Linked DNA regions of Elephas maximus indicus. The main gene of each other region encodes a partner of the protein of the gene in region 2 in a complex. Links are inferred from orthologs where the notes say so. Each region holds a gene or a part of one and is shown on either strand. Other genes may lie near its edges.

Region 1 (7,535 bases), on a different chromosome or scaffold from region 2:
GGTCCAGTCTGAAGTTGATCAAGGGGATGGCACAGGATCGGGCAGTGTTTCGTTCCACTGTGCACAGGGTCGTCATGATTCAATGACAGCTAACAACCCCACTAAGTCAACTACCATTCAGCTCCAGGTATTAAACGAAACTCATTCAACATAACCGTTGGCGCCTCTGGGACTAGGTAGCGAGTTGGCCATCCGCTTAGCACTATGGTATATCATCTCCTCTCATCCTCATAGCACTTCTGTAAGTTGGTTACCGTCCTCCCTGTTTTACAAGGAAGTGGAGGAGATGGAAGCTCACACAGGTAGGTGACCAGCCAAGGTCACTGGCTGGGGAATGTTGGTGTTGTGCTACCCAGTCGATTCCGACTCATGGCCACCCATTTGACAGAGTAGAACTGTCCCATAGGGTTTTCTAGGCTGTAATCTTACAAGAGCAGACAACTAGGTCTTTCTCCCATGGAGCCACTGGGTTCTTTTAAGCGCCGACCTTTTGGTTAGCAACCAAGTGCTTAACCATTGCACCACCAGGGCTCCTTGGCTTGGGGGGTAGCAGAGCCAAATTCAAAGCTCGGGCCCAATTTCAAAGACCACACTGCCAACCACTGCACTTCTGGCCTCACCTGATCCCCACAACACCCCAACAGAGCCCTGCTCCCAGCCGCAGCCGTGCATCAAAGCAACCTCAGCTCACTCACGACAGCAAGTGAAATGCAATGTATGTTTCACAAGGTCCCCAGAAACTCTTATTACACTTAAAGTAGGACCACTGCCCTGGGTAGGGCCGATGGGCAGATGCAGCATCCTGCCCCCTAAAATGTCTGCAATGTGCTGCATGGGGATACTGGGTGTACTTTTCCGGGGAGAAGGGTGAGCACTTACATCAGATTCTCAGGGTTCCATTGAGCCTCTGTAATACATACCAGCCACTGCAAGATCTACAAAGATTTTAAAGATTTAGACCACAGCATGAGTGGGTATGGGCTCCGGCTCCTTAGGTGCTGGCATCCAGGAATTCCACCCCAAGGAATTTACCTGAGATTTCTCTTTCAAAAGTGCACAGAGAGACCCATAACCGGTAAGGGTCTAACATTCAAAATATATTTTTAAAACTTCTACAACTTTACAACGAAAAGACAAACAACCCAACCAAAAAATGGGCAAAGGACTTGAACAGACCCAACAAGTACATGAAAAGATGCTCAACATTAGCTATTTAAACTCAAAACCTGTTGCCGATGAGTCGATTCTGACTCATAGCGACCCTGTAGGACAGAGTAGAACTGCCCCATAGGGTTACCAAGAAGCGGCTGGTGGATTTGAACTGCCCACCTTTTGGTTAGGAGCCAAGGTCTTAACCAGTGCACCACCAGGGCTCCCGTTAGCTGCTGGTGGATTTGAACTGCCCACCTTTTGGTTAGGAGCCAAGGTCTTAACCAGTGCACCACCAGGGCTCCCGTTAGCTGGTAGGGAGATGTAAATCACAACTTCAGTGAGATACAACCTCACCCCCATTAGAATGGCAGTGATTTAAAAAAAAAAAGGAAAACAGCTGGTGTTGGTGAGGTGGTAGAGAAACTAGAGCCCTCATCCATTGCTGGTGGGAATGTAAAATGGTGCACCTGCTGTGGGAAATGGTTTGGCAGTTCCTCAAAAAACTGAACATAGAACTATCATACGACCCAGCAATCCCAAACCCAGGTATCTACCTAGAAGTGAAAGCAAGAACGCAAACAGAAACCTCTCCACCAACATTCACTGCAGCATTTTCACAACAGCCAAAAGGTGGAAACAACCAAAATGTGTCCACTGACAGATAAATGGATAAACACAATATGGTATATGCACACAATGGAATAGTCCTCAGCCATATAGAGAAACGAAATCCTGATGTGCGCTACAACATGGACAAACCTTGAAAACATCATGCTGAGTGAAATAAATCAGTCACAAAAGGAGGAATGCCGTATGATCTCACTTACGTGAAACAAGCAAATATATAGAAACCAAAGACTATCAGTGGTTGTCAGGGGGCGGGAGAGCAGGGAAAGGAGTGTTTCTGCTTAGGGGGCAGTGAGTTTATGTTAACGGTGGTGGAATAATTTGGAAAAGGATAGCAAGAATGGGTACACAATTTGAAGAATATAATTAATATCACTGACTTGCACATGTCGAAGTTGTTGAGATGGTATATGTTTTAGTGTAAATATTTTCACCACAATTAAAAAAGCGTGGGGGAGAATGAAGACGTATGTTCAAGGAAACTCATGGCAGCATTGTTTGTGTTCACCGAAAGCCTAAATCCATCCCTAGAGAACTGGTGAGGTCCAGGAGACCCATCCAGACAGTGGACGACTATACATCCATTAAAAAGGAACAAGGGAATCATCTATATTAGACTAAACAGTCAACATTTACCCTAAGGCAAAGATGAGAAGGTAAGGGTGGTGGTGGGAGGGGGCAGGGAACAGGGAAGCTAGATTAATGGCAACAGAACAACCAGAATGGAAATAATGAGAATGTTGACACATGGTGAAAAACGTAACCGTCACTTAACAGTGTGTATAGAAATTGTTAAACGGGGACCTAATTTGCTGTGTAAACTTTCACCAGAAACACAATAAAATATTTTTTAAAAAGGAACGAGGGAAAACCATCTGGCAGTTCTTCAAAAAGCTGAACACAGAACTACCATATGACCCAGCAATTCCAGTCCTAGGCATATACCCAAGAAAACTGAAAATATATCCACACAAAGACTCATATGCAAATATTCATGACAGCTATCATTTGTAATATACAAAAAGTGGAAATAACCCAAATGTTCACAAACTGACACATGGATAAACAAATTGTGGTCTAGCCATACAATGGAATACTATACAGCCATAAAGAAGAACAAATACAGATATAACAACATGGATAAATCTCAAACACATCATGGTACAGGGAATGAAACCAGATGCAAAATGCCACATAGGTTATGATTCCACTTGTTTGAAATGTCCACAACAGGCCAATTCATAGAGACAGAAAGTAAATTGGTAGTTGCCTGGGACTAGGGGTGGGAAGGATGTTCTTTGGGTGATGGAAATGTTCTAAAGCTGGAGAGGGGTGGTGGCTGCTAAACTTGGTAAATTTACTAAAAATAATGGAATTGTACATTTAAAAGGAGTCCCTGGGTGGTGCAAACAGTGAACACGCTCGCCCGCGAACTGAAAGGCTGGAGGTCCACTCAGAGGCACCTTGGAGGAAAGGTCTGGCGATCTACTTTTGAAACCTCAGCCACTTAAAACCCTATGGGGGGGGAACCCTATGGAGCACGGTTCAACACTGATACAGCATGGGGTCCACAGGAGTAGGAAGTGATTCTATGCAACTGATACAGGTACATTTAAAATGAGTAATTCTTATGTAAATGATACCTCAATCTGCGGCATCACTTGTGTTGGTATCGCCCAGTGTGGTACCTCACGGTGTCACACACCCCTACCCGACCCCCGGCCGGAGTGGGCGGGGCTGGCCGCGAAACCCCCCCTGGTTGGAGGAGCAGCCAGGCTCGGCCTGTCCCCACAGCTCCTCCCCTTTCCCGTGGGCCAAACTCTCCTTTTCGCCCTATGGCAGGTACCAAGACCCAGCTGCTGATACCTTAACTGGCGGGTGAAGGGGGGAGTGACGAGTTACCGCACTGGGTGACAGGTGAATCCAGCCCTAGTGACGCCACCGCGTTGACGGCCCCTGCCCCAGCTGCATCCGTGTGCCCACCGCCTCGGACCCTGGGGTCATTTTAAAGTCACCCTCTCTAACAGTGCCCTCCTAGTGACACCACTAACCTCAATGAAACCAAAAAACCAAACCCGTTGCCGTCGAGTCAATTCCAACTCATAGCAACCCTACAGGACAGAGTAGAATTGCCCCACAGAGTTTCCAAGGAGCGCCTGGTGGATTTGAACCGCCAACCTTTTGGTTTGTAGCGATAGCTCTTAACCACTACGCCACCAGAGTTGTCAAAATAAATAAACCAAACTTTGAAAACACTGCCGCTGCTCACACCATCCCGGCTCTTCCCCCAGACCCTGGGTGCCACCTGCACCGGACCACGCTCCTGAGTGGGGCCCAGGCAGAGAAACTGAGGTTCGCTCTCTCCGTCGCCCCCAATCCCAGCTTTGAAGAGTGCCCCCATTTCCTCCCAGTCATCTCCCGAGCTGGAGCGCCCCTCGCCCAGCTGCCGCCCACCGGCCCCTCCGACCTCCTCCCACGCTGTCCATCCGCGGTGGCCGCCGCCGCGCTCAGGCCTGGCACCCAGGCCGGAGGGGACCGTTGCCCGGGCAACAGCACTGGGGAGGAAGAGACTAGACTACAACTCTCGGCATGCACTGCGCTGCGGAGACTAATGGCATAGCCAGTCACAATCGCGGGGCGTCATGGGAGTAGTAGGTCTGGGGTAGGCCCGGCGTGCACCGCGCGCAGGGGACCAATAGGAGGCCGGGTCATAATCACGGGGCCTGCCGGGAGTTGTAGTTTTGGGACGGGCCGGCAAGCTGCGAGGAGGCTACTGGGAGCGAGGAGCAGTCGTAGAGGCGCCACCTGGCCTCCATGGCGGCGGCTGAGGTCCAGCTGTGGGTGGTTTGCTTGCTGCGGGTGGCGCTGGCCACCGTTTACTTCCAGGAGGAGTTTCTAGACGGAGGTGAAAGGGGCCACGTCCGCTGGCGAGGGCGTGAGGACCCCCCACTTCGCTGCCCAACGGACGGCCGTGTCGCCGTTGGCCCCAGGCCCCTTGTTGCGGGGTTGAGGGTGGCGGAGCCTCGATGTTTCGAGGCCTCGAGCGCCCCCTCACCCTCCCAATGACACAAACTAATAGTTTTCAGCCCTCACCGGTGTTGTTTCCCCCCACAGAGCGCTGGAGGAACCGATGGGTGCAGTCCACCAATGACTCACAATTCGGGCATTTTAGACTCTCGTCGGGGAAGTTTTATGGTCATAAGGAGAAAGATAAAGGTTAGTGTAGGGATCCTGGGAAAATGAAGCTAAATGCTTAACGCCCCTAGCAACTTTGCAAGGTAGGTGTGGTGACCCCTCCAACACCTGTTACATCTATTTTACAGGTGAGGAAAGGAAGACAAGGACTTTAGGGAGTTGTTTTATGAGCACTTGTTAGTTGCCTCCCAGTCAATTTCCACTCGTAGTGACTCTACAAAATGACAGAGAGAACTGTCTCCTAGGGTTTCCTAGATTGTAATCTTTACGGAGGAGCCTTGGTAGCACAACAGTTAGGAGCTCGCTGCTAAGCAAAAGGTTGGCAGTTGAAATGCATCAGCTGCTCCTTGGAAACCCTGTTAGGGGAGTTCTACTTTGTCCTATAGGGTAGCTGTGAGTCAGAACCAACTTTGCCGCCGCTGGGTTAATCTTTACTGAAGAAGAGTGCCAGGTCTTCCGCAGAGCCTCTGCGTGTGTTCAAACCACCGACCTTAAAGTTAGCAAAGGAACGCTTAACAATTTGTGCCACCAGGGCCCCTTTTGGAAGGACAAGGAGTCTGAATCAACTCAGTGGCAACTAACAACCATCGGAATGAGTCCTTGGGTGGTGCAAATGGCTAAACACGTGACTACTAACTAAGGAATTGGTAGTTAGAGCCTACCCAGAGTTGCCATGGAAGAAAGGCCTGATGAGCTGCTTCAAAAGGTCATAGCCGTTGAAAACTCTGTGGTGCACCGTTCTGTTCTGACACACATGGGGTCGCCATGAGTCAGAATCAACTTGACAGCAACTGGTTTGGTTTTTTGCCTGGTGCAGATGGTTAAGCACTAGGATGCTAACAAAGTTTAGCTATTTGAACCCACCCAGTGATACCTCGGAAGAAAAGCCTGTCAATCTACTGCCAAAAAAATTAGCCACTGAAAACCCTGTGGAGCAGAGGTCCACTCTTGACACACATGGGGTCACCACGAATCGGAGCTGACTCAACAGCAATTTTTTTTTTTTTTTACTTCCATGGAACTTGTCAAAAGACAGGAATTTCCACTTGGGCTACTCCTCTGAATCATTTGGGTTCTTTCCACAATTTTTTCCTTTCTCTCATTTGGAATTCTGAGAGTGCATGTTCCATTCATTCCCTGGGCACATGACTACTGAGAGCAGACATGGGAACACCCAGTAAAAAGGCCCTGTCCCTCCTGGTCTCCTAGGACCATGACATTGAAGCCATGAATTGGAAGATGAGTAGAATTTAGCCACAATGAGATGGGGGCGGTGCTGAAAGGGTGAAGGGGCACCAGAGTGGGACCAGACACAGTGGGAGGCAGAGACTCAGTTGGTCTTGGGGGATTGTCTAGATGGTGGGTGGTAAGGGAAAGAGAGGGGTCACGAATCCCTGGGGAAGGGGGGGAGCGGGAGGGGAGGAATGGACCAGAGAGAGGGGGTGTGGTAGTAAGAGGCAGTTATTAGTTCAGGTTTGGACATATTGATCCCTGGGTGGCACAAACAGTCTGTGCTCAGCTACTAACCCAAAAGGTTGGCAGTTCAAACTTGCCCAGCAGTCGTTCAGTCACCTCCAACTCATGGCGACCCCACGCACAACGGAATGAAATGCTGCGGAGTCCTGAGCTCTGTCCGTGATTAGTTGCGGATTGGACCATTGTAACCCATAGGGTTTTCATGGGCTGATTTCTAAAGTCATTCACCAGACCTTTCTTCCTGGTCTTTCTTAGTCTGGACATTCTGCTGAAACCTGTTCAGCATCCTAGCAACGTGTAAGCCTCCGCAAACAGATGAGTGGTGGCCGCACGTGAGGTAACTCTGCTGGGAGTGGAACCTGGGCTTCCTGCATGGAAGCCAAGAATTGTGCTACTGAACCAAAACCCTCTACACTTATAACAGCACTGTGTTAAGTACAAAAATGTCCAGGTGTGTGAACTGTAAGGTCTGTGGAAGCAGAGAGCCAGTGAGCAGTATGCCTGTTTGGTATTATTTGCTACTGAAATAGGGGTGGTACAGTGGAAGAAAGGCCTGGCAATCTGCCCCCATAAAGATTACAGCCAAGAAAACCCTGTGGAGCTGTTTGCTCTGTAACACATAAGGTTGCCATGAATCAGAATGGACTGGGCAGCAACAGGTTGTTTTCCATGACGTTTATTATTGGGGTTGGGGGGACAACATCGTTTCACTTTCCTGAGTCCCTGAGCACAGTGTCATCCTAATCCTACATTAGTACTTTTCATTGAAAGGTCTGCAGACCACCCAAAATGGGCGATTCTATGCCATCTCTGCACGGTTCAAACCATTTAGCAATAAAGGGAAGACCCTGGTGATTCAGTACACGGTGAAACATGAGCAGAAGATGGACTGCGGAGGGGGCTACATCAAGGTCTTTCCCGCAGATGTGGACCAGAAGAACCTGAATGGGAAATCACAGTACTACGTTATGTTCGGTGAGTTCACATGTGTGCAGTGCAGCCATTCCTAGAGCCCTGGAAAACCCTTCCAGCTGGGTTGAGCTGTAGACTAAGACTGCCTAAACACCGTGAGGTCAGCATAAGGG
Region 2 (7,149 bases):
ATGTGTCCTTTGATTTCCTGACTGCTGCTTCCATGAGCATTGATTGTGGATCCAAGTAAGATGAAATTCTTCATAACTTCAATCTTTTCTCCGTTATCATGATGTTGCTTACTGGTCCAGTTGTGAGGCCAGTCAACAACCAAATTAGATTTTTTTTTTTTAGTTCAGAGGTTTCCTTTTAATGTCAACAAATTTCAAGGAATTTCACTGGTTATGGTTGTGTTTTTATTTTTTGAATTTGTGAATAATAAAAGCACAACCATAACCAGTGAGTTGCTTGAAAGTTGTTGACATTAAAAAGAAATCCTTGAACTAAAGAATCTAATTTGGTGTTTGACCAGCCTCACAAAGTTACTCCTTGGTCCAGGTAGATTTCTATAGGAAGCTTCATGTGATCAGCTCTAGTCTGCTGAGGAGAAAGTAGGACAGACCTACCCAGTAATCCAGCCAGTCCCAGCTAGGGTTACATCCTCTGCCTGCCTGACAGTCAGGGCTTGGTGAGCTGTGTACTGTGTGTCAGTTACACAGTCTCCTCTCACTTGCATCCTGTTTTTTGCTGTCCCCCTTAATACAGTGAAAGAGTGCCCCTGACACTTCTACCTCTAAAGGAGTAGATCAAATGAGCCAGGACCTCTGACAAAACCAGTTAGCTGTTGTTCACTTCTAGATTTGGGACTGTCATGGATTGAATTGTGCCCCCCCAAAATATCTGTCAATTTGGCCTAGGTCATGATTCCCAGTATTGTATGATTGTGTTTCGTTTTGTCACCTGAAGTGATTTCCCTATGAATTGTAAATCTTATCACTATGATGTAATGAAATGGATTAGTGGCAATTTTATTGATGGATCTACAAGATTAGATAGTGTCTTAGGCCAGTCTTTCAAGATATAAAAGAGACAAGCAAGCGGAGAGACATGGGGACCTGATACCACCAAGAAAGCAGTGCCGGGAGCAGAGCGTGTCCTTTGGACCTGAGGTTCCTGTGCTGAGAAGTTCCCAGACCAAGGGAAGACTGGCACCACGAGGACCTGCTTCCAGAGCCAACAGAGAGAAAGCTTTCCCCTGGAGCTGTGCCCTGAATTCAGACTTTGGCCTACTGGGCTGTGAGAGAATGAACTTCTCTTTGTTAAAGGCATCCATTTGTGGTATTTGTGTTTTAGCAGCACTAGATAACCAAGACAGATTTTGGTACTGAGAGTGGGGTGCAGCTTTAACAGATACCTAAAATGTGGAAGCGATTTTGAAACTGTGAATTGATCAAGGACTTACAAGGAAGCGAGGAGAGCTGTTACGTCGGAGACGACACAGACAGCGAGAAGCAACGGCAGAGGACCGACATTGGCAGAACCAGGAGATCAGTGCAAGACAGCGTTGCAGCCAGCCCATGGAGCGAGAGAGCTGAATGCCTTTGTGAAGGATGCTTCCTGGCAAAGCGGGGTGCCTGTGAGCACTTACAGATGGAGCTAGGCTTGCTGACCCACGGAGCAAGAGAGCTGAGTGCCTTCCAGCTGAAGTTTACTGGCAGAGTGGGGTGCTCCAGGCACTTACTGGTGGAGTTACAGAGCTTTGGAACACCTGCCCCAGCAGGACAGACGAAGGCTTGAGGGCCAAAAAACCAAGAAACCGGGAAGCAGAAGTTGAAGAGACAAGGAACAGAGGAAGCCAAGCTGCCTCAGTCTCAAAAGGTATGGCCACAACCTCTGGGGTTTCGAAGGGTGGAGCCACGGCCTCTGGTGTTTCTAAGGGTGGAGTCACCACTCAGATGGACTAGGAGGATGGTGCACCTAAAGCTGAGGGAACAGAGTTGCTGTCCCAGTGGGCCTGGAAGGCAGAGCTGAAGCCCAGGATGGAAGGGTCTCCACTCAGAATCCAGAGAGTATGGCCAATACCTAGAGTCTGTAGGGCAGGGCTATTATGTAAATGATCTCAGATAAAGAGGAGTATTTTCAAGCCATGAGGGCTAATGCAGTGTGTTCTGCTGACTTGCTTGGTGCCTGTTATGCCTTCTTTTTCTCCAATTTTTCTTGTTTGTAATGGAAATACCTACCTTGTGACTGTTGCACCATTATACTTTGGAAGCAGATAAATTATATTCTGAATTTCACAGATGAAGAGGAAGTTTTGGATTTTGAATTTAAGTTGATTTCAGACTTTTGCTATGACATGGGGTGAATATGTTTTATATGTGGCAAGGACATGAATTTTTGGGGGCCAGAGGAGGGAATGCCACGGATTGAATTGTGTCCCCCCAAAAATATCTGTCAACTTGGCCTAGGTCATGATTCCCAGTATTGTCTACCATTTTGTCATCTGATGTGATTTCCCTATGTGTTGTAAATCCTATCACTATGATGTAATGAGATGGGTTAGTGGCAATTATATTGATGAGCTCTACAAGCTTAGATAGTGCCTTAGGCCAATCTTTTGAGATATAAAAGAGAGAAGCAAGCGGAGAGACACGGGGACCTGATACCACCATGAGAGCAGTGCGGGAGCAGAGTGTGTCCTTTGGACCTGAGGTTCCTATGCTGAGAAGCTCCCAGACCAAGGGAAGACTGGCATCACAAGGACCTTCTTCCAGAGCCGATAGAGAGAGAAAGCCTTCCCCTGGAGCTGACACCCTGAATTCAGAGTTTGGCCTGGTGGACTGTGAGAGAATAAAATTCTCTTTAAAGCCATCCTCTTGTGTTATTTCTGTTTTAGCAGCACTAGATAACCAAGACAGGAACATTGGGCAGCAGATAGAATTTCTACCTGCCTGAGTCAAATGCAGACAGGTGTCTGCCATTGTAATACAGATTAGAACTTTTAAGTTCATGCCATCCTGCCTTTTCTTTCTTTCTTTTTTTTTTTTTTAAGTAACTATATATGTTTGGGATTTTATTCATTTACCTCCTCACAGGCTGAACATATCTTCTCTTTCGAAGTAGCCTGTGTTATGAACTGAACTTGGGTGAAATCTTTTGAGGTCAGGCAACCCTAATGATAAAAAATGGAAAGAAATTTGGGAACCTTCAGAGATAGTTTTAGAGTCACTGCCTAAATATTGAAATGCCACCATTTGCTGTTTGGAGGGATGTGAAGCTAAATTGAGAACGGGAGCACCACATCTGCCTTGACTGCTGAGTATATCTATTTCTCCTGCTCACCCGTAATAGAATTTTTATGTGTGCAGTTACTAGTCTTGGTTTTTAGTAAGTTTAAAGGAGGAGAGAGAATGACAAGACTCAGCCTACATTCTTTTGTCCTTCCCTAATGTGTTTGAGTGTCTGTCCCTGATAGGCCCCAGTTTTTCTTCATTATTATCGTTGTGGTGGTTTTTGTTTGCCTTTTTTTCTTTAAAAAAAAAAAAAAAAAAAAGTTCAGAGAATTGAAAAGGCATAATTTCCTAGTACTCTATCAAGAGATGCAATATTACTCTTCCGTTTTATTTTATGGCAGAGTAAGATTTAGGGTTAGTAAAAATTTTTTGCCTGTGCCACCTAATGAATGTCACTGAGCCAGGGATTTTTTAAAGTCCTTCACCCCAATGAGAAATCATTAGGCAGCACACCTTGTTATATGTGCGTGCTACGTTTTTGGCGGCCAGTTCCTCAGCCATCTTGCCTCTGGCCTGCTTCTCGTGGTGTTTCCACTCACTACTTAAGCAATTCTTCCAGAGTTAGTTTAGACCATTGCTGCCTTTGGCATATGGAAACTGTGTTTAACACCAAGGCTGACAACTAAGTTCTTCCTTCTAGAACCATTTTCAGACTACATGAGGGAAGCTCTTTTTTTTTTTTTTTTGCGTGAGATAGTTTCAGTTTTGGGGTACCTCAAAAACTCATTGAAGGGAGGAGTCTGGAGGATGTGAAACAAGTTTGTGTTTCTTCTGCTCTGTTAGCCACTGCTATCTTCATGGATCTGACACTCTGTTTATCTGACAGTGCACTTAGTACTGCTTCGCCAGGGAAAATCACACAAAACAAGCCTGGTGCATCAGCACTTTCATTGTGTGCTGGGCTGAGCCTCCCTTCACATGGTCACATCCCCCTTTTAATCCAGTATTCCCTCTCCTTTCCCCAGTCCTGCCTGTTTCTGTGGCACTTACTGCTTGTTTCCCTGAGCTCCTGTTTTCTGTACTTTGTGTTTTTTGTGGGGCTCAGGAAGCTAAGGCTGTGTGTATTTGTGGATCAGACAAGGGCAGCAAGTTAATATCATTGGCTTCTGAAGACGAGAGAGGTGATGGCTGTGTTTAAGTTGGATTTCCTTCCAGAAATGATGGTGGATCATTGCTCTTTGAATTCCGGTCCCGTGTAAGTATTTTTGTGGTCTAATTTTTATAATAAGCAGAAAAATTGGTCTGTTTCTTTGTTGTGTGGTGAAACTGGTCTCTTTCCTAGAAAGAGGGAAGAAATAATTGGGTGAGGATGCTAAAGTCTGAATTCTCTCAAGCTGTTGTTTTCTGTTGTAGCATGTTGGTTCTATCTCATGACTTCTGGTTTCCTCGAGGCCCTAACTAAGTTCTTTACATAGGGGTGCACTTGCTTTGTGACCAGCAACATCAGTTCAAGTGTGCTGGTTCCAGTCCCTGAAGGGAATGCAGCTTGAAAGCTGTAGTGTTTTCCCCTATGGTAGATTCCAAGGTATTTTTTAACTGTAGCTTTTTTGCTTTGGGTTGAGTATGCAAGGATTTTTTTTTAGTTAACAAATTCTCATATCACAGAGGGGACTGGTAGCCAGGATGTATTTAGTGTTGTTTGCAGCATTCTGTATTGACATGCAGAGAGTAACCTGGACCTTGATGTTTTTCCCAATCTGACTGAAAATGCAACTGAGCACATGATTTCAGGAATATCAGATCCCCCCCACCCCCCAAAACAAAACTGGATCAATCTTGATGGGCAGTTTGCCCAAATAAATTTTGAACATGGGAATGAGAAAGTTCATCAGCTTCCAATACTGGGTAAGAAGTGACACAGCGAAAATGCTAGCCTGGCCCTGAGGGAACCTAAATTCTGGGCTTTGTAGAGGACACATCTTGCACTTCCGATTTCAGTTGCTTTAACCGTGCTTCAAAGTACCTTGGAACCACAAACAAACCAGCGTTGTTATTCGAAGCCAGGAATATTAAACAGTAGTCTGTTCTCTAGATAACAGGTGTTAGTGCAAGCCTTTGCGCTCAGGCCTCCATGTGCAAATCAGTCTGCCCTGGGATTAGGGGTGTCAGGTGTTGGTGATAGCAGATACCGAATGACTCTTTGTGGAATAGTTTGGGGGTCTCCAAAGTTAGCTGGCTTGCCCATTTGAAAATGGATCGTATGCCTTGTCTGTAGTCTCCAAAATAATGGTAATTCAAATGGGCCTTTTTATGAGGGCTCTTTCCTGCTAAAATTTTATTTTAGTGGTAGATATTGGTGAAATTATGGTGAATACCGTCATAAAGACTTAATACATAATAAAGGTATTCCCATGTCCCAGATGTATGATTGCTAGAAATAGGATTTTGTGGCTCAAATTATCTTTCATTGTAACACTTTCTCTCTATGCTTTGCCACTCCCCAGTGTCTAACCCTGAGATACAGCATTTCCTGAGTCTGTTTTCTCATCTTTTAAGAAAGAAAAAAAAAAGATTAATCCACTGTTCTGTGAAGTGTGGACAGTAGACCACTGCATGAAAGTTACCTGGAACATAAAAATGCAGATTCCTGGATGCATGCCCAGAAATTCTTGGGCTACAAGAATCTGTATTTTAATAAATGTACCATGTGGGTTTTTCACCCATTTTACTTATTTATTTTTGTTAGGCAATTATTTCTATTCCCCCGTTTCTCCAGCATCTGATAACCACTAATCTATTTTTATCTCTGTGCATTCGCCTATTCTAGATATTTCATATACGTATGATCATACAGAACTTGTCCTTTTATGTCTGGCTTATATCGCTTATAATGTTTTCATCCATGTGGTAGCATGCATCAGAACTTCATTTTTCTTTATGTTGTTGTTAGGTGTTGTTGAGTCAGTTTCTACTCATCGTACAATAGAACGAAACACTGCTGTATCCTGCGCCACCCTCACAGTCGCCGTTAAGCTCGAGCCCATTGTTAAAGCCACTGTGTCATTCCATCTCCTTGAGGGTCTTCCTCTTTTTCACTGACCCTCTGCTTTACCAGGCATGATGTCTCTCTCCAGGGACCAATCCCTCCTGATAACATATCCAAAGTATGTGAGATGTAATCTCGTCATCCTTGCTTCTAAGGAGCATTCTGGTTGTACTTTCAAGACAGATTTGTTTGTTCTTCTGGCAGTCCATGGTATATTCAGTATTCTTTCCCAGCATCACCATTCAAAGGTGTCAATTCTTCGGTCTTCCTTATTTATCATCCAGCTTTTGCGTGCACATGAGGCAGTTGAAAACACCATGGCTTGGGTCAGGCACACCTTAATCTTCAACATGACATCTTTGGTTTTCAACACTTCGAAGAGGTCTTTTGCAGCAAATTTGCCCAGTGCGGTGCGTCTTTTGATTTCCTGACTGTTGCTTCCATGGGTGTTGATTGTGGATCCAAGTAAAGTGAAATTCCTGACAACTTCAATCTTTTCTCCTTTTATCATAATGTTGATCACTGGTCCAGTTGTGAGGATTTTTGTTTACTTTATGTTGAGGTGCAATCCATGCCGAAGGCGGTGGCCTTTGATCTTCATTAGTAAGTGGTTCAAGTTCTCTTCACTTTCAGCAAGCAAGGTTGTGTCATTTGCCTACTGCGGGTTATTAATGAATCTTCCTCCAATCCTGGTGCCCCGTTCTTCATATAGTCCAGCATCTCAGATTATTTGTTCAGCATACAGACTGAATAAGTATGGTGAAAGGATACAGCCCTGATGCACACCTTTTCTGACTTTAAACCACACAGTATCCCCTTGTTCTGTTCAAACGACTGTCCGACTGTGAAACAGACCATCAATTTCTCTTTATGGCTGACTATAACTGCAATTTATGTGTGTACCACATTGTTATTTAGTACTCGTTCATCCGTTGTTGGACACTTGGATTGTTTCTACCTTTTGTCTATTGTGAATAATACTCTTCTGCACATTGGTGTACAACTATCTGTCTGAGTCCTGCTTTCAGTACTTTTGGGTATATACCTAGAAGTGGAATTGT

The links. Proteins that work in one complex are often made in the same cells at the same time.
Region 1: CELF1 (region 2) and CALR3 share a complex: the UniProt entries of both Homo sapiens proteins name them as parts of the EIF2 complex. The link is inferred for Elephas maximus indicus from reciprocal best matches to the Homo sapiens genes CELF1 and CALR3.

Annotation. Positions count from the first base shown.
Region 1 is NC_064821.1:36,719,025-36,726,559, reverse strand, and holds the start of CALR3 (calreticulin-3), read left to right. Parts: upstream 1-4,534; 5' UTR 4,535-4,593; coding exon 4,594-4,684; intron 4,685-4,893; coding exon 4,894-4,995; intron 4,996-7,221; coding exon 7,222-7,425; intron 7,426-7,535. UniProt on the Homo sapiens protein: During spermatogenesis, may act as a lectin-independent chaperone for specific client proteins such as ADAM3. Required for sperm fertility. CALR3 capacity for calcium-binding may be absent or much lower than that of CALR.
Region 2 is NC_064825.1:102,899,161-102,906,309, reverse strand, and holds the start of CELF1 (CUGBP Elav-like family member 1), read left to right. Parts: upstream 1-4,147; 5' UTR 4,148-4,226; coding exon 4,227-4,297; intron 4,298-7,149. UniProt on the Homo sapiens protein: RNA-binding protein implicated in the regulation of several post-transcriptional events. Involved in pre-mRNA alternative splicing, mRNA translation and stability.